Alligator mississippiensis: one gene and its partners. The protein of the gene in region 1 binds, or shares a complex with, the protein of each later gene. Links are inferred from orthologs where the notes say so. Each region holds a gene or a part of one and is shown on either strand. Other genes may lie near its edges.

Region 1 (7,315 bases):
GGTTACCAGTAACATTCGAGCTACAGCAGCACAGAGCTTAACGCAGACTGCAAAACTCATGCAGGAAGGGGGATAAATTAGTTCACGATGAGAAATTTGCTTCTGTGCATACACTGTGATAGGGACCCGAGTTAGCTCCTCTCAATCTAGCTGGGTGTGTGACCACATGCCATGCAGCTGTTGATGCAACCACAATATAGACAATCAAGACTTACAGTACAGATGATGTTTTATAGATAAAATCTATATTATATATCATCTCTATTATATAAAAATATAGATTTCATCTATAAAACATATAATCTCTACTACGAGTCCTGATTGCCTTTTCCTCTAGACCAATATGGCTACAACCTGGATACGACACACAGATATCAAATTTTAGCCAATTAAAAAAAAATAAAAAATGAAATCTTCATCTTTTCCCAAGCAGGAAGCCACTGTGACCACCTGAAACCTGAGCCTTTGTTTCAAGGTAATTTGCATCATTGCAGATCCTCACAGGAGGCGAGAGGCTTCATACCAGCTATGAACTGACTGCCCAGAGGAGTTTTCCATCTATGGAGTCCTCTATGAAATATGAACTTTAATTTCTACCCAAGAGAACTTTTACAGTTTTTTCTCCAATGCCTGATGAATGGTGTTTGTGCCCGAAAGCTTGCAATTAAAGAATTTTTTTTTGCAAAAATCTTGTTTGTGTGATAAAAGATATAAATCTCTACTACGAGTTCTGATTGCCTTTTCCTCTAGAACAATATGGCTACAACCTGGATGCCTACCACAACACAGACACATTCTTTGTGTTTTCTTCAATGCCACCTATGCCTATGGTAATGGAGTGACTTCCAAGCAAGACTGGGAGTACTAGGAAAGTACCCAGTGGCTTTCATGGAGCCTCAGGAACATCTGCACTTCTAGCAAGGTTTTAATTAAAAGCAAATAATTGTTAAATTAATCTACAAGTTGTTCCTGTGTTTACCTTTCCTTTATGTTTTCTGGTGTGGGGCTAGTTAGTGCAGGTGAGACTGGTCATACAGTCATTCGGTATCAGTTGTATTTTTTTGTCTGGATGAACTCAAACTCAGTCCACGGAGGTGGCACCAGGCATGTATCTCTTGAGGAGACCCCATCAGAAGTGGTTCTAGACTACTCCCAGCTGCAGAGCAAGAGGGTCACATATTTTTTTCCCAAACCTGGCAAAGACTTGAGCAGCACAAGCAGCCGTATGTGCCTGGTTTGCCATGAAGACCATAGAGAACTGTTAACTCTACCTAGACACTAGGCAAGGGTAGCAAGCTCCTGGTCTTTCTGCACAGAGAGGCCATCCCCAATAGCAACTATGGAAGGTGCACACTCGAATGGGCAGAGAAAACTAGTGTCTAGGGTGGCCCATTGGAAGTTATCTGAAGTGCAGTACAGTTCAGATAACCACCAAGACCCTAGATATGGAGGTGCCTTGATATATCATTTTCTCAGTGAGCTTGGTTTCCTCTCATCTCTATTTTCACAGACAGTACTAGAAATATTGGTACCTAATATGCCCATTTTTAACTGATCTCAGTTTAACAAAATGCTCAGGATAAAATTCTGCAGGACTGGCTTCTGGCCAAAATTAATTAGTATTTGGAAGAAGGGATGGGGAAAGGATACACCTATTTAATGGAGACAAAAGGTCCAAATACAAGATTATGGACATGCATACCCTATGCACAAGCAGCAATCTCCATCATTTTATTAACAGAAAGCAGAACCACCACCATAGAATTTAATTTTGAAAAACTCCATGAATGCAGTATTTCAGCCACACAGATAAGACAAATGAACAGATAAGACAAATGAAACAAAGTCAAGAAGCGTCCAAAAGCGATGTTATACGAATGTTAACACTTACTGGCAAATACTGGCCCTTACGTAGGGCTTTTTACCGTGTTTTTCTGTTAAAAACATGCAGCTAAATGCTGCTTCTTGTTCATGTTGTAAAATGGATAGCCTCAGACATCCCCGCAAGATGCAAAACACAAGGTAGTAAAGGTGCTAAGGGAGCTTGAACCTCTGCATTTTCTGTCATTTTAACTATGCAGATAGTACCACTTCAGTCTTCCAGAACTGACATGTCTTTGGCAACTCATTTTTTTAAAAACAAAGAGCCAACATTTTTCAAGCCCATCTCTGCCTTCGTTTAAAAAAAAAAAAAAAAAAAGTGTTCAGCATTTGAGTAAGACCCTGTATTTGGCAACTCCCCCAAAATCCTTGGCTCTGTGCATTTTCTCAACAGAAACCCTAAACTTTTCAGGAGGGGGGGAAACAATCCTTGCCCAACCAGCGCAGATATTTGCAGCTGACAGAACTGGAAGATTCAAGTTGCAGTCAAAGCACTTGAAACCAAAGGGCATTTTCCTCGGAAAGCCTTTGAATGTAGCAACGGGACTGGCAAGGAGGGTAGGTAGCAAAGCACTGGAGCAGAGACACGGGGGGAATCGCTCAAGTCTCGGAGATTTGTAAGACCTGAACTTGGACTTGGGTGGGATGATCTAGCTGGGGCCGGTCCTGCTTGCGGCAAGGGGTTGAACGAGGTGTCTCTTCCAACTGTCATGTGCTGCGAGCTCTTGCTCGCCCATTCATTGCAGCCAGGACTCCCCCAGCCCGCTCTCCTGGCTGCCCGGGCGAGAGGACAGGAGCGGGGCAGGGGCAGGAGAGCTGGGACGGCCTCGCCCCCGCTGCCCGTCTCCTCTGGCGGCCGGGGGAGGGCAAGAAGCCGCCCGGACCTTGCCCCCGGCCACGGCGGCGCGCATCCCGGGAGCCGAGCGCACCGGCTGCCCCGGCCTGGGCTTGCTCCTTCCTGAAAGAAAGTCAGCGCGGGGAGCAGCTTACCTGGAGGAGGAGGAGGAGAAGGAAGAGGCCGGGCCGGGTGCAGGGCACCATCCTGCGGCTTCTCGTGCCACGCTCCCGGAGGTAGGGGTCGGGCTGACGAGCGGTGCGGCGCGGCCCCCGCCTGCTTTTATCCGCCCGCCGCCGCCGCCGCCGCGCAGCTCCCCGCGCCGCTCCTCCCCCGAGCCCCGCGCCGGCCCCGGCCCGCGCCCCGAGCCCCCGCCGCCGGCCGGGCAGGGGGCGGGAGCCGCTGGGGCAGCGCCCGAGACCGGCCCGCCCCTCCTCAGGGCAGCCGGCAGGACTCCTGCCTGCCCTGGCCTGGAGCAAGCCCGCCCCGCAGCCTCCTGCCCTCTCAGTCAGAGATGTTCGGGTCCTTGGTAGGTCATGGAGTCGGCCCCCCTGCCCCGGGCGGGACCCGGCCAGGTGCCTGTCCAGTCTCCTCTTGAAGAGGTCGGGGCGAGCACCACCTCCCTTGGGAGCACATCCCAGACTCTGGCCACCCTGCCCTGCCCGTGAAGAAGTTCTTCCTGATGTCCAAGCTAAAGCTGCTCTCCGTGGGTTTTGTGGCCATCCGGGTCTCCTATTCCCTGCTGCCCTCCCCTGATGAATTATATAGGCCTGTTGCAAGCCCCCAGGCACCTAGGGGGTCACCTGCCAGCCTCTTGGTGGGCCTGGGCATCACCTGTCCCCAAGGCCCTTTACATCCCTCTGAGCTCCAAGGATGAGGTCCAGCCCCGCCGTGGACATCCGCTCCCCGGCAGGTGCTGCCCCTTCCCGTTCTGAAGAGCTGCGGCAGTGGGAGGGGGGATACATTGGGGCAGCGCAGCCAAGAGTCCTGGCTTTCTCCTGTCCTGCTGTAATGGTTGTGAACTCCTCCAAGACCGTTTTACACTGGACATAAGGAAAAACTTCTTTATGGTCCAAGCCCCCGGGGCCTGGAACAGACTCCCTCGGGAGGTGGTGCGAGCACCTCCCCTGGACTCTTTTAAGAAACGTTTGCATGCTTATCTTGCTGGGATCCTTTGGCCCTAGCTGACTTCCTGCCCCTTGGGCAGGGGTCTGGACTCGATGATCCTCCAGGGTCCCTTCCAGCTCGAATGTATGAAATCTATAAAACCATTGGGCCCCTCTCGCCTCTCCAGCAGGCCTTGGGAAGTGTGCCTGCAGCATGGCACAGAGAGGGCACCTGGCCCAGGGGGTGCTGGCTGTGTGCCTCCTGTCACTTGCCCACAGAATGAAGTCAGTGCCCAGCCGTCTCTGCGCCTGAATCCTGCTGTTCCTGGGCCTGCTATAATTTCCCAAATTGATTCTGAAACAAAGCTGATGGAGGCATCTGCCCAGCACTTTTGGACTGAGTAATTTCCGGTAGAAATGGGTAGAGGGGAGACCCGACTCCATTATCTTCAAGCAGTGGGTACTAATGCTGCCCCTTGCTATGCCAAGATATTGCTGCCTTGCCCTGGTACCATCCAGCTCTCTGTGGCACCCCTTGGGTGGCGATGCTGCCTGCCGTGGTACAGCTAGGTTTGGGCCCTTAGACGGTAGCATTTTTCTTCTGGCAGCATCTCCTCTACTAGGATCTGGGGCTGTCCTGCCTGGTGAGGAAAGCCCTCTAAGATTTTCTGCAGTAATGCTGCCACCACTGTGCTAGTGCAGGGCTAGAGGGCAGACACCTGCAGGCACTACACAGACTTTGTACAAGCATTGCTTTGGGCTTGAAGGAGCCAGCCCCAGGGAAGGCAGTTTTAAATGTACCTGCTGGGATGATTCAGCAGGAGGAAAACCAACCAGTCAGCAAGATTTTTTTTTTTTAAATTAGTAATGAGAAGTCAAGGTGAGTAAGTGTGCCAGAAACTGCACAGGAGTGAATGGGAAACCTTCCTGGAGGTTTAGTTCAGTCATGTTGCTTTGAGCAGGGGGACAGCCTGCCCTGCACCTAACTGCAAGTGACCACTCGGACCTCCCTTCTGAGCACTTCCACTGTGGGTGTAATTGAACTGAAGTCAATCCCTTATACTCCAAAAACTGGGGAGTCCTCCCCCTACACCCTGTTGCAACAACTACCTGATGCTATGGGTTTTGTCTTTGATGCAACGCATTGTTTCTGATAAAAGTCTTGTGTGGCAGCATGTAGCATGGGCAGGATGGATCCTAATCCTTTCCAATCCTGCTCCTGCCAATCCTTGTGATCTGGAACAACACAGGGGTGCAAAGGACTCTTGACAGGTAAACAGAAGGTCAGTGCTCTTTGATTTATTCATGCCGATAGTCTGACGCTTGCCCACAGGCCCTGACCCTTTTCCTGCCTCTTCAACTGAGGAAAAATGATGTCCTGCCAACGTCTTTTAAAATCTGATTGTCCAGCCCCAGTTAGATTTCCATAGCAACTCGTCTCTTTCAAACACGAAGGCTGAGGCTCTAACGCATGGCTTTCCAGGCATTTCAGCCCAGGTGAGTGCCTCCGTAGATTTGTATGGGACCCCCGAGCGATGCTCAGCTGTGTACCAGCCCATTCCCTGAGGCTTGCTAAGCCCTTTGCTGATGATAGGCTCAACCACTGCTCTCCCCAAGAGCTTTCATCAGGATTATCAGCTTGGTTTTGCTTAAGGGAGAGCAGAACACAGGGAAGGGAAGTTGCTATCTCAGAAAGCACGTGGTATGGAGCCAGGACCCCTTACAGCGCAAGATGTCTGTTTGACTCCTCTTTCCCCAATGACATAATTAGCCTCCCACCCCCATGGGCCGGGAAGTCCTGCCATGGCAATAGCTAGAGGGCCAGTGAGACTAAATTGAGATCCTCAAGGAAACTAAGCCAAACTCCCTCGTGGAGCAGGACCTAGGCACCTTGTTTCCTTTGCAGGATCTTAGCCTAGGTGCCAGAGCCAAGGTCATGCAGCAAAGAGCTGAACACCAGTTCTCAAAGTCCTGGATCACTTGGCAAGCCTGCCTTTTTACTCTTCCTGCTGGACCAAACTTCCCCCTCCTCCACTCAGGGCCAGGAGATATTGGATTCTCTTCTCCTGGCTAGTAATTCTCAGGAAATGACTGCACTTCTTGCAACTTTGCGCTAGGTTCCTGAGGTCCCAATTCCTCCTCCCTACTCTCAAGCAGAGGTATTTTTAGAGGGAGAGGAACTTAACGCTTAATGTTGGGGATTGTCTATGCTTCTGGTGGCTGTCTATGCTTCTTGTTCTACTAGGGCTGCTGAGGAGCTGGGAGGAGGTTCAGGAGGAGTCCCAGGGCTGGGAGGAGCCGTGTGTGCATAACACTTTAAAGCCGGCTAAATGCTTTTGCATCGCTTTAATGGTGTCGGTGTTTGCATGCCTCGGCAGTGTATTGAACGTGAATTCTAGCTGCTGTAGGAAATTTGGTGGTGTAATATGCCTTAAATGACTTGGGGCGCAGCAAACTAAAACTCCTCGAAGGAGTTTTAGTTTGCTGCCCCTACAACCATGGAGCAAAGCACTGGGCTCCATGCAGTTCCACAGCTCTGTAGGAAGCCCTGCAGGCAGCCTGGCAGCAGCCCGGTGAGCCTGATCTTATTTTTTCCCCACTCCTGGAGCCCGCCTGCCTGGCTGAGCTGCAGGGGCCTGGTGCTTTCCTCCCTGGCTGCGGTGCCCCCCGGGACTGCCACCTGGTGGGGGTGGGAAGCCGGGGAGCCACCCCTGCTGTGGAGGGAAGCACCAGCCCTCTCCCCAATGCACACACAGCACAGGGACCGCTCTGCCTGCTGGCAGCTCGCCCTCCCCTCCCTTCGGGAGAGCCAGGTAAATCAGTGGGGTGTGTGCTAATCTAAGCACTCTAGAGGCTCTTTAGGCAGCATGCCCCTTTGTCTACCTCTAGGTCTAAGGGTACTATTCTTACCTAACTTTCCAGTAGGATTTTAGTAGAAAAGGGACAGTTGATAGGGTGGTAGGGGAGACACAGATGCAGCAGCCTGGGGAAAACTTGTAGATAGAACTCGACTCTCCTCACCCTAGTTTCATGGACTTCGGTGGATGATTTCCTGAGAATCAGGCCTGAAGTCTTCACATTCTGTCAAGAAAGCAAATAGGTGCTAAGAGTTGCTTTGACAGATGTTATTTGAAACCCCAAAGAAACCAAACATGTGATCCTATGGCCCCATATCCAGGACAAGATGATTTCCTAGTCAGATTCCAAAGTGGGTAATGACATGCCACCTACCTGGACTGTGTGTCTGCATTTTCAACCAGATGCAGAATTTTTCTACACCTCTCTGAGTAAATCTTTCAGTTTTTTTGAGCACAGATAAAACACCTCTGTTCCACTCCAGAGTTTGTTGCATTTCAGGAACAAGCAAAGTAATTCCTGTATATATTTTGGGCTCATTGGCATCATGCAAGTTATTTATTTGGGTTCCTGAAGAGCATATTATATTGGCACTTCCATTAAAAGGAATGATACAAAGGAAAATTTTGAGACATTA
Region 2 (5,192 bases), on another chromosome or scaffold:
CGTCCTGCCCGCCCGCCGCTCCCTCCTCCCGGACCGCTGGGATGGGTTGGGCCGCCCCGCTCCGCCCCGGCCCACCCCGCACGCAGCCCGGCTGCTCCCGGCCGCCTCCGCAGACAATTACCGCCGCGCGCTGAGCAAACAGCCCCGAGCGCGGGCGCTGCCCGCAATTAGCGCCCGCCTGCCCCCGCCGCTGCCCCCGCCTGCCCCGCACGCGGTGACTCACGCAGCCTGGGACGGGGGGGAGCCCCTGCGGCCTCAGTCCCTCTTGTCCCCCCCCCGCCAGTTGCGGGGCGCTGCGGTGCCCGCTTAACCCCTTCCCGTCCAGTGAGGAGCAGCGCGGCGCGGCAGAGGCAGGGAAGGCAGTGACACACCCGAGCCGCGCAAAGTCCAGGCCCCGCCCGCGCTGCTGCCCGGCGGGGGGTCGTACTCGGACCGCGGCTCCTCGTCCCGCGCCGCCTAATCCTCGCCCCCACGGCCCGGCCCCAGCACTGCGCCCACCCCACGCAGACTTCCAGACACGGGGGGTTTCCAACACGTTTTATTAGAAAATCGCGGCGTCTCCGCGGCTCCAGCCCAGCCCCGGCCCCGGCGCGGGGGAGGCAAGGGGCGCGGGCCCCGCTCCCGGGACGCTGCGGGCGGCGGGCACGTCCCCTCGCTGTGCGTGGGCCCTGTAGGCCGGGCGGCGCCGCTACTTGCCGACGGCGTCGAGGACCAGGCGGTTCTGCTCGGCCTGGGCGCGCTGGCTCTGCGTCCGCGCCAGGCGCAACATGTGCCGCAGCAGGTGGAAGGTCAGGTCGATGGAGAGCGGCGGCTCCTCGCGCCGCGTCCGCCCAGGCCCTGGCCCTGGCCCTGGCCCCGGCTCCCGCTCCCGGCCCGAGTCCCCATGGGCAGCGCCGTCGGGGGGCAGCAGCGCCAGCAGCAGCAGCAGCGACGGCAACAGCAGCGCCAGCAGTGCCTGCCTCATGCTGGGGACGGCCGGGACCTGCGGACACGGCGGCGTTAGGCGCAGCAGGCGGGTGGCGGGCAGCTTCCCGGAGCGGCGGCCCCAGGCCCCACCTGAAGTTGCCCGGCGGGCGCAGGGCACGGGACACCGAGTGGCTGACTCTCGCCCCCCGCCTCCCGCCGGGGCGCCCAGCCCCGCAAGCTCCCCGCCGGGCGCCGGGACTCGGTGCCGCTGCCCCGGGAGCCGCAGCCCAGCCCGCCCCTCCCGCGCCGCTCCGGCCGACCCTACCTGGAGACCTGGAGCGCGGAGCGGGTCCGGCCGGCGGCGGGGATGCGGCGCGGCGCGGGGCGGCGACGGGCGGGAGGCTTTTATAGCGCCGGGAGCTCCCGTTGACGTCAGTGCGGGACGGCCGCGGAGTCGAGCGGTGGCGGGAGCCCGGGGTCCGGCCGGGCGTGGCCGGGCGCTGCCGCCGGGGACCCCCTCCCCGGGCGCAGGGGCAGGCTTTGCCCTGCGCCCTATGAGCCGTTCCACGTGGCTGTCGGGGCCCCGGGGGCGCAGGAAGGGCAGCGCCCGGGGGCGGCGGCCTCGAGGAGATGCCCCCGTAGGCCCCTGCACCCCTCCGTACTGACCCCGCCCCGCCCCGCCCCGGCCCCGGCGCTCTCCGCTGTCCGCGGTGCTGAAGTGTGCGAAGCGCGGCCTCCACCACCCCCCATCCCCTCTCGGCCCGGCCCCACCCCGGCCAGCACAGCTCCACCCCACGCCTGGCCTGGGTGCCCCCCTGTCCCCCCCCACGACTGGGGCTGCGCGGGGTGCGGTGCTGGACACCCGCCCAGTGGTCCGCAGCAGGCACGGAAGAAGGGACTCCCACGGCCACCCGCGCCCCAGCTGCGATGCCCTGAGCCCTGTCTTGCAGTGCCATGTCAGCTGGAACAGGGAGTGGGACACCTGCTTGGACCCGCCGTGTCCCCCTGTGCATGGTGCCTGGAGCTGAAGGGGACCAGGTCTCCAAAAGCCTTGGCAGCACCCAGCCCCTTCACTGCAGGTTCTGCATACGGTTCATGACACTCCCAGGGTGGACACAGGGACAGGAACCCAGCACTCATCCACCACATTTTATTGTCCCCAGTGGGGCTGTCTCAGCATAGCCCTGCATAGAGGGATGGAGGGGCGGGTGGGGCAGCACAGCTCCCTCCACAGCATGATTTGGGCTCAGTCAGGGCTGGGGCCAGGCCTGTGCTGGGGCAGTCGTGGTGCCACACCTTGGGCCCTGTGCTGCCTCTTTGATGAGTCTGGCTGGGGTGGACCTGCGATGGGGCTCCCAGCCCCTTCCATGCTGTGGACGACCCCTGAGGACCAGCACAGCATGGTGGGAGAGGGAGCGGGACCCAGGCCATGGGGTCACCGGAGAAGCATGGGCAGCCATGTGGGATGTGTTGGGGGCTCATGGCTGGTTCGCCTTCCAGGAGAGGTAGGAGTTCCAGATGATGGCAACGCACTGCACCACGGCTAGCCTGAGGGCAGACAAGAGGGACCAAGAGGTCAGAGTAGGGCAGTCCTGTGTCAGATCAGCAAACTGGGGTCCTGGGGAAGCCAGCCCATGCAGGGAGGGGAGCTGGTGGGGAAGGGTCCAGACTCCTGCCCTGATGTTCCAAGGGTCAGGGTCCCTCTCCCCAGCCCAGGCAACAGTCCAGGCTCCCAGTGGGACAAGCCCAAGCCACCCCCACTCTCAGGATGTAACATCTCCCTGGGGCAGGGGCAGGAGGGGGTACAGTAGGTGCCAGGACACCACCCTCCCCCCATGTAGGCTAGAGCACAGGGCTTGGGGCATGGTTTGGGGGGTCCAAGGAGCAACAGCACTATGACAGGGTCATAGTGCCGGAGGCCAGGGGCACAGGGGCAACTGGGAAGTGCTGGGCCAGTAGAAGGAGGGGCAGTTGTGGGGGGACTTGCACGGGGTACAAGGCATGCTGGGGTCTTTGGGCTGGGTAGGGGAGCTGGATGTGTGGGGGTTGTTCTGCCTGGAGGCCTGGACAGGGCCAGGGGGTGCAGGAAGGGGAAGGCACCTGGGCTAGGAGGGTGCTGGACCAGCAGGGGGAGGGTGCAGTGTGACCTGCTCATACCTGTAGTTCAGGGGGATGAAGTAGAAGTTGGCAACCTGCACTGCCGGCCAGATCTGGGAGACAGGCATAGCGGGTGAGGAGTACAGAGGCCTTCACCCTACCTGGGGCAGGGCAGGGCTGCCGCCACATACCCTTCCCCTCCTGCCCATTTCCCCCACCCCAGCACTGGCTCCTACCCCACCTCCCTGGACCCCCCACCGGATTTGGGTAAAGCCCACTGCAAGCTTCTGCTGGGAGTCCAGTGATAGGGGCAGTGGGCAGGAGGCCCACTGGGGGCCAGGGCGGGTGGGGAGTTCTGGCTGCCTAAGCATGAGCCCCAAGGTGGGCTGGGCCTTGCATGTGACAGCGCAGGGGGTGCACTGCCAGCCCACTGGAAACCAGCGTGCATCAGTGGGGGCACAGCTTTCAGTCTCCTGCTGTGCAGATCTAAGCACTTGTTCCATGATCACCTGGGCGCAACCCCCCTCCCCTCCCCCAGGCACTTACATAGTAGTTGGTGACAAGGGTATCAGCATAGTCCTGCAGGCAGAGAAGGGCTGGTCAGTGCTCACGTGGCCCCTTGGGCAAGCCCTGCCCCCCTTGGGCCCAAGGCCAGGGGCCTGCAGAGGTCATGTGGGGGATGAGGGCTCCTGCTATGGCCCCCAATGAATGGCTGCTTAAGATGTGGCTGCAGCTGCCACACAGCCTGTGGCAAGCAAAGCGCTCCCCACCCCCTGTGCTGTGTGGGCCAAGCCCCCAGCTCTCGGTACCCAGGTCTGGATTCTGGATGGGGGTGTAAGAGCCATGGGCAGGAACGGGTCATTCCCAAGTACCTGGCACCTGGGGGCCATGATTAGACCTGGGTGCGGGGGATGCCCTGCCCTGAAGTCCCCTGTCCAGCCCAGCACAGCCCAGCCCCAGAGGGTCATGCCCCAGGGCAGAGGGTAAAGATGGACCGCCCTGGCCCTGCAACCCCTATGCGAGGCAGGCCATCTGCCTGCAGGTTTGGCTGCTCTGTGCAGCAGGCAGGACCTCAGCTCCCCCACTCTGCCAACGAGTGCCTGTAGGAGTGGCAGGCCCCCCTGGGGACATGGGGACTCTGCCCACAGCTCTCAGTGGACAAGTGCCCTGGGCAGCTGTGCTCGCTAGCCTGCAGCCAGCCAGGGCGCTGATGTCCATTGCCTGCCTGCTGCAGCAGCCAAGGGGGGATGCTGTCCTGGCAGGGCAGGTTGGGGGCAGTCCACTCCACTGGGGGGTGCTGGGCTGTAGGGCGCAGGCAGGGAGACCCACTCTCCCGCCATGCCAGGAAGGACAGACACTGTTGGCCCTATGACTCACACCAGGGTCACCTGTTCCCGCCGTGAATCACACCCAGACTCACTGACTCAGCCGCTTGCGTTGGTTTTGGGAGACCTGGAGGCCTGAGCCATCACACTAATGGCTTTGGCAGAGGCAGCCAATAGCAGTGCCTGGCGCACCCTCACCCATGGGACCAATGCCCAGTACCTGTCCCTGCTGCTATGGGGCCAAGGGATGCCCCTGCTGAGCCTCCCCATTACCCCCACTGGGGCCTTCCCTGCACTATGGGGACGGGGCCTCCTAGTCCGCATTGCCAAGGTCAGGGAAAGACCCTGCAGTGGTCAGGCTGCCTCTACAGAGGACAGGGATGGACAGGGCACTGCGGCCACTCTGCCTCAGCACCTGTGGGACTGAATGAAAAGGGGCTGGGCCCAGCCCTTTGCCCCCAGCACAGCCCCAGGGACTCACTCGCTGGATCTTTTCCCAGTTCTCTTTTGCAGACAGACTGTTGACCGCACCGGCGACGGCAAGGAAGCTGCCGAGGAAGATCGGGGCGAAGCCAGCCTGTGGAGGAAGTGGGTGAGTGCCACAGGGCAGGGCTGGCCCAGAGCATCCCTGTGCCCTGGCCCCACCCCCTGCAGACGGGTAATGGGGATCCGTGGAGCACTGCAGTGGGGGGAGTGAGGGGATGGGTCCAGGCTGCCTCAGGCTAAGCACATGTGGCTCATCAGCCCTAGCAGAGTTGCTTGCACTGGTTTTGGGGGCCCTGAGGCCTGAGCCATCACAGAAGTGGTTTTGGGAGAGGCAGTTCAACAGCAGTGCCTGATGCACCCTCACCCATGGGACCAGCG
Region 3 (5,941 bases), on another chromosome or scaffold:
CTCCTTGCAGCCTGCTGCCCCATGCCCCAGCGGGGCGATCCACGTCCTTGGGGCCGTCAGGGCACTGCCCCCTGGGCACACACGGGGTGGGGTGAGGAGTCCTTCCTTCTCGGGCCCGTTTGGGGCAGAACAGCAGGGCTGGACCCTGGCTGCATCGGGGCTCAGCTGGAGGCAGAGGCAGTGCCAGGAAGCTCCTTGGGCCGTGCCCGGGGGGTGGGTTGCGGCAGTAGGGTAGTGTCTGTAAAGTAAGCCCGGGGGTCTGCAGGACAAGGGGGGCCAGAGCCGGCTCCGACCCCAGCCCCGGCCCCGGCCCCGGCCCCAGCGGCAGCGCTGCACCGATGCCCTGCGCGGAGCTGCCCCCCGCCCCCCGGCTGCCCGCGGAGGAGGAGGAAGGCCAGGCAGGCGGAGCCACTTTGCAGCTTTTATTACAAATATAAATAGGCGCCCCAGGGCCGCAGCCGCGGGCGCTCCGGGACGCGCTCAGCCGCCGCGGACGGGGCGGGCGCGGGCCGGCGGGCGCCGCTCACTTCCCGATAATCTCCATGAGTTTCCTGTTGCTGTGGGCCTGCTGCGCCAGCTGCTCGGCCCGCGCCATCTCCAGCACCTCCCGCAGGAGGTGGAAAGTCAGGTCCAGCGAGATGGGCGGCTCGTCCGAGCGCTTCTCCCGGGCGGCGCCGCGCTCGGGCAACGCCTGCGGCCGCGGGGCAGGGGCTCGCAGCCAGGGGCCGGCGGCGGCGGGCGGCGCGGGGGAGGCCGGCCCGCGGCCCGGGCTGCCCAGACGCAGGACGTACTCCTCCGCCAGGCGGAGCAGCGCGGCCGGCCCCGGCCCCAGCGGCGGCGGCGGCGGCGGCGGGAGTAGCTCCTGCTGCGGCCGGGCGCGGCTCAGAGCTCTGCCGTCGCGGCAGGGCAGGAGAGCGAGCAGCAGGATCCCCGTGGACACCAGCAGCGGGATCCTCATGGTCAGCGCCCCGACCTGCAGCACACACGCGGGAGGGGAGCGGGGGGCGGCGGGCCGGGCGCTGGCCGCGGTGCTGAAGCCGGGCCCGGCCCCGCCGCAGCCGCCCACGCGCGGGGCTCGCGCCTTCCCCCCGCACAGCCTCCCCCCGCGCCCCGCCGCGGGTCCGCGCCCCGCCGCGGGGCAAGTCCCGGGCTAGGACATGACCACGCGGGGCGGCCTGGCCCCTAGGGTCCGCAGGCAAAGGAAACCCCCGGCCCAGCGCCTGGCTCTGCGGGCTCCTTGGCATCGCCTAGATCGCGCTCTCCCTCTCTCTCTCTCTCTCTCTCTCTCTCACACACACACACACACACACACACACACACACGTATACACACGCACACATATACATCCATACACACACATGCATGCACGTACACACATGCAAACACACACAGATACACATACGAACATACACACATACTTATACACATACACTTGCATGCACTACACATGCACACATACATATGCAAACACACGGATACACATGCGAACACACACATGAACATATATACACATACACATACATACGCATGCAGGCACATACCCATATATGCACATACACATAAGCAAACACACACGCCCAGGCTCTTGCCCCGCTTGCACCAGGGCAGGGTGGGGCCGACCTCCGCCTACCTGAGAGCTGGCCTGGCGGGTGAGGAGGACAGGTGCAGTCCACACTTGGGGGCTTTCAGGGGTCCTTTCCTTTCCCTCGTGCTCGGAGCCGTCTCTTCGCCAACTTGGGATCAGCTTTTCTCCCAATCAGAGCCTGGACGCGGGATTTTTATAGCTTAGACCCTCTTCTGGAATCACGCAGCACTTGCCTAATAAGCTGACGCTTCCTTGACAGCTCGATTGCGTGCCCCGATCCACTGCTGAATAAATCATGGGGGCCCGCGTGGAGCCGCGATGGGCAGAGTTTTGCTATCGCAGCCCGGAATCTCACATCCAATTATATCAACAGATATTTATCGCCTCGTTGGTGACGTCAGCCAGCCCCGGGACAGAGACAGCGGAGCGGGGCTCTCTCCCATTGACAAAAATACTTGAATGAGATTTCCCAAGGGGAGCGAAAAGCGGCAGCAGCGCCCGACCTCTTACTATGAAAGGTCAAAGCGAGGGAAAACTTTCCACTCGAGTCCCGCCTGGGCACGACTCTGGAGGCTGCCGCCCGGCCCCAGAGCCAGGCAAGGGCATGTAAGAGCCCTGGTCAATTTCGGGGCATCTAAAAGCCCTTCTAGGAGCCCTGGTCCATTTCAGGGCATCTAAGAGCGGGGACCTGATCAGTCCAGGTCCCAGCCTGAGCTGGGCGCTCCCAGCCCAAGCCGACTTGTAAGCAGGAGGTGCGAAGCTTTCTCTAGCACCAAGCCTTGGGACGGGCTGATTTTGTCCCAAGACACCCCGTCCCACCGAGACAGCGCTCCTCCGATGGCTCTAAGCGTGAAAACGCCTAAGAACCCCAATTCCTGGCAAGCCACAAGAAATAACCCAGCCCCTGGAAAAGCCAGGAGCAGGGGCTGAAATTTGTTCCACCGGTGTCTGAACAGGAGAGGTGGGAGATGTGAAGCTCCGTGGAGCAGCCGGCAGATCTCGCTGCTCCAGCCCCCCTTAGGTATAACACAGGGTCCACTTAGATTAGTGGGGCCGATGCGCTGGGAGCAGAAGTGAGATGCCCCTGGTGAGGCAGTGCTGTGCTTTGGGGAGATAACACATCTGGTCCCTTCCAGCTCTGGGACACACCAGAGACATGGGGCTGGGCTGAGTTGTCCTGGTGTTCTCGCTGGCAAGTGGCAACGGTGATGCTGCCGCTCCGGGACTCTCACTGTCAGGGACATCAGCAGGGAAACTGCCCTGGCATATGAAAGCGACCCGGGACTGGCAGCCCGGCAGCAGGCAGGAGGCTGAGACAGACGGCTCATTCAGAAAACTGGCAAATGCTGCACCTGCCTTTCGAGTCTCCCTGCCCCGTGTAGTGCGGATCCCTGCATTAACAGTGAGTCAGTGCAGCCCGCATGGAATGACAGCGGGATTTATAGGAAACTTCCGCACTTCCCTGCCCTTGTCTGTCTTCTCCCTAGTTGAAACAGAACATATCCCGAGTCGCCTCCTCTCTACCCCGTGCTGGCATTTTCCTGCTCAATAAATGTTGACAGCTCCACAAGCGCTTGGTTTTGCCGCCTAGAATGTAAAGCCCCGAGAATGAATGGCTGATAAAACGCATTCAATTGCCTCTTTTGGCAGTTGTCTAGATGGAAATGATCCTATTGTGTTTGATGATTCGCTTGTTTTACTGTGCAGTAATCAAAGGAGCTCTTCAAGCCTTCCCTACCCGGGCGAGCAGAACTCAGGCGGGCTCTTTGGGAAGGTTAGTGATCCAGGCCCGGGCACGGGCAAAAGAGGGGCTGCTGCCCACCCACAAGACAAAAGAGGAATGCATAGATTCATGGCCAGATAACAAAAAAAGAGGGGCTGGGGAGAGAGAGAAACGTCGCTGAACTTGCTGCAGTTGATTGACAGAAAGGGAGACGCGCTGCTCTTACTCGGGGATCCGTCCTTTTGGCTTGTAGTAATGGACTGCCAGTGAGAACAGCCTTGTTTTATGAGGTTAAGCAATTTACCGAGTTAGATTAATAGACAAAAAGAGGTCAGAAAATCTATCGCGTGCTCTAGGCAGCTACTGCATACGACGGTAACAGGGGGTCAGATGTAATCAAGACGCTCCCTCTACAAGTCACTTCAAGAGCAGTGTTGAAGCACTTCAGCACTGGACAGTGCTGGGCTCCACGCACGTGCGGGGCATCAGGTTCAGACCTCTGTTCCTTCAACCCCGGGGTAGAAAAGGAGACATGATTCTCTACCGGGAAAGTCTCTAAACTGAATGCATCTTCAGCTCGTGAAATTACAGGCGATATCAAGGGGCAATACAAACATATTAAAGAAACCCCTGCCTGTTGCAGAGAGCTTAAAAAAAAAACCCAGAACTGATCACTGGCTACAAAAAAAAAAAAGCTATTGACCAATATTTCCCCAGTTCCTTGCATGATCCTACAGGTACAGGCTTTTCTTGGCGAGGGATCTGAAATTCCTTTATAAAATCATCTCAAGTCCAATTCTGATGTCATTTACATGAATGGCATCTCCAGCGATCTCTTTCCTGCAGCCTCCATTTGAGGGAGAGTAGGGCTACAGGAAACTTAAATACAAGTGGCTAAATTATGTGAAGAATTCAACTGATCTCAGTGCATACCTGAGGGGAAACTTGCCCCAAGTTGAAGGCACTTAAGCAGGTGCTTTTCTGAATTAGGGATCTTATTTAACAAGGCAGGGAGGGAGTCATTAACAAGAACAGTGATGAAATGATCAAACATATCTGATTTGGAAATGGTTTAATTTTCCAGTTAGATATACATCCAGGAACACAAGACTGAAATGGAACTCCTGGATCATTCAACCCAGGTTGACTGCAGGCAACCATGTCATATAAACTTTTCCATAAACTGGTCAAGCTCTTGTTCCAGCCCCTAACTCCTCTGATGGCTATAAGTCTTCTTCATTCCAGCCTAAACTCATCCATCACTAGTTTATACCTATTTGTTTTTGTGATAGTATTGCCCCTTAAACAGGTCTTCTTCCCTGGTATTTTCTATCTTGAAATATTTAGAAGGAGCAACCATATCTCAGTTGAGGCTTGGCTATCCTTGGTTAAAACAAGCCAAATGCTCTTTGTGACCTTCTGTAAGACAGGCTCTCCATTTCCTTTCCTAGACCTTCCATTTGTGCTCATCTTTCTTGAAGAAGGGTGACCAGAATTCCAGATGAGTTCTTAGCTTGTACAATGGCACTCAGATTTCCCTGTCTCTATTGGAACTGTCTCATCTGATACATCTTTGGACTGAATTTGTCTTTTTCATAGTTGCCTTACATTGGTGGTTCATAGTCAGTTTGTGATCATCTAGTGTACCACATCTTTATTCTTTTTAGTTACTTCCAATCAATGAGCTCCAAGTGTATGTAAAAAAATCTAAACAGATCTAAACAGTTTAAAAATCTGTGTATTAGTGCTTAAATGTGTGACCTTGCACTTCATTCCATTTCTAATACACCAGTTTCCAAGATCATTCAGTTCATCCTATGCAATATCCCAACCCATGTTTGTATTGACAAACATGTCCCAAAAGATCAATCCCAAAACCACTCCATGGGGAACCCTACTAGTAACTTATGTATATCCCAATACTTTGTTTTTCAGGATAACCCATTATCATCATCCCTTTAGCCCATTCCCTATCTACTTTACAATTCTTCTGGTAATCCCCTACTACTTCAGTTTTAAATAATAATTTCACATGTGGCACTATATTAAATGTTCTGTTGAAATTCAGATAGATTTGATCAACGGTACTTCTTTTGTCTCAAAAGTATTTTTTTAAATAAAAGATAGATATTGGCTAAGTCTAGCTCCTTTGGTGCTACCTTTGGTAAATCCATGTTGCATTTTATCATTCAGGTCTTCAGTTATTCTTCCCAACAATACTTGTTTTAAAGCTTTACATACCATTGAGGTCCAACTAACGAACTTGTAGTTGTCTAGATAACTTCCTTCTCTTCTTTTTAAACATAGATACTACATTTGCTATTTTCCAGTCTCATGGTACCACTCCCAATTTTACCAGGCTTTCAAAACAATGTACACTTGATTTCATGCACAGATCTCTCTGAATTCTGGGATAGAATTTATCTGCTTCATCCCCACACCAGATTGAATGCTTTAACCCCTTTGAGTTTTGCTTTCACCTCAGCTAAGTAGTTTCCTTTTCTGTATCCCAATTGCCATTAGTTATCTCCCAACTCCGAGATCTCTTTCTGCTGCTGTGCTGCTGAGACGATCATCCCCAAGCCTATAGGTGTGCTGGTGATTCCCTCTCCCTAGCTGCAGCACCTTGCACT

What was found.
Region 2: the proteins of CRHR1 (region 1) and UCN are in contact, whole or in part, in a cryo-EM structure (PDB 6PB0), measured with the Homo sapiens proteins. The link is inferred for Alligator mississippiensis from reciprocal best matches to the Homo sapiens genes CRHR1 and UCN. Residues at the interface, in NP_004373.2 of Homo sapiens: Leu106, Asn107, Glu109, Lys113, His117, Val120, Asn123, Trp169, Val172, Gln173, Ser177, Pro178, His181, Gln182, Thr192, Tyr195, Asn196, His199, Phe203, Phe260, Gly261, Lys262, Pro264, Tyr270, Tyr272, Gln273, Met276, Ile277, Tyr327, Phe330; in NP_003344.1 of Homo sapiens: Asn84, Pro85, Ser86, Leu87, Ser88, Ile89, Asp90, Leu91, Thr92, Phe93, His94, Leu95, Leu96, Arg97, Leu99, Leu100, Glu101, Leu102, Ala103, Arg104, Thr105, Gln106, Gln108, Arg109.
Region 3: the proteins of CRHR1 (region 1) and CRH are in contact, whole or in part, in a cryo-EM structure (PDB 6P9X), measured with the Homo sapiens proteins. The link is inferred for Alligator mississippiensis from reciprocal best matches to the Homo sapiens genes CRHR1 and CRH. Residues at the interface, in NP_004373.2 of Homo sapiens: Lys113, Tyr116, His117, Ala119, Val120, Asn123, Trp169, Val172, Gln173, Met176, Ser177, Pro178, His181, Thr192, Tyr195, Asn196, His199, Phe203, Phe260, Gly261, Lys262, Tyr267, Tyr272, Gln273, Met276, Ile277, Leu280, Tyr327, Phe330, Phe331; in NP_000747.1 of Homo sapiens: Glu156, Pro157, Pro158, Ile159, Ser160, Leu161, Asp162, Leu163, Thr164, Phe165, His166, Leu167, Leu168, Arg169, Glu170, Leu172, Met174, Arg176.

Annotation. Positions count from the first base shown.
Region 1 is NC_081827.1:156,223,162-156,230,476, reverse strand, and holds the start of CRHR1 (corticotropin-releasing factor receptor 1), read right to left. Parts: upstream 3,001-7,315; 5' UTR 2,923-3,000; coding exon 2,872-2,922; intron 1-2,871.
Region 2 is NC_081824.1:181,987-187,178, reverse strand, and holds UCN (urocortin), read right to left. Parts: upstream 977-5,192; 5' UTR 965-976; coding exon 689-964; 3' UTR 523-688; downstream 1-522. Other genes in the region: protein Mpv17, read right to left, coding at 2,385-2,454, 3,064-3,116, 3,550-3,582, 4,810-4,905. UniProt on the Homo sapiens protein: Acts in vitro to stimulate the secretion of adrenocorticotropic hormone (ACTH). Binds with high affinity to CRF receptor types 1, 2-alpha, and 2-beta. Plays a role in the establishment of normal hearing thresholds.
Region 3 is NC_081826.1:64,349,836-64,355,776, reverse strand, and holds CRH (corticoliberin), read right to left. Parts: upstream 983-5,941; 5' UTR 959-982; coding exon 524-958; 3' UTR 523-523; downstream 1-522. UniProt on the Homo sapiens protein: Hormone regulating the release of corticotropin from pituitary gland. Induces NLRP6 in intestinal epithelial cells, hence may influence gut microbiota profile.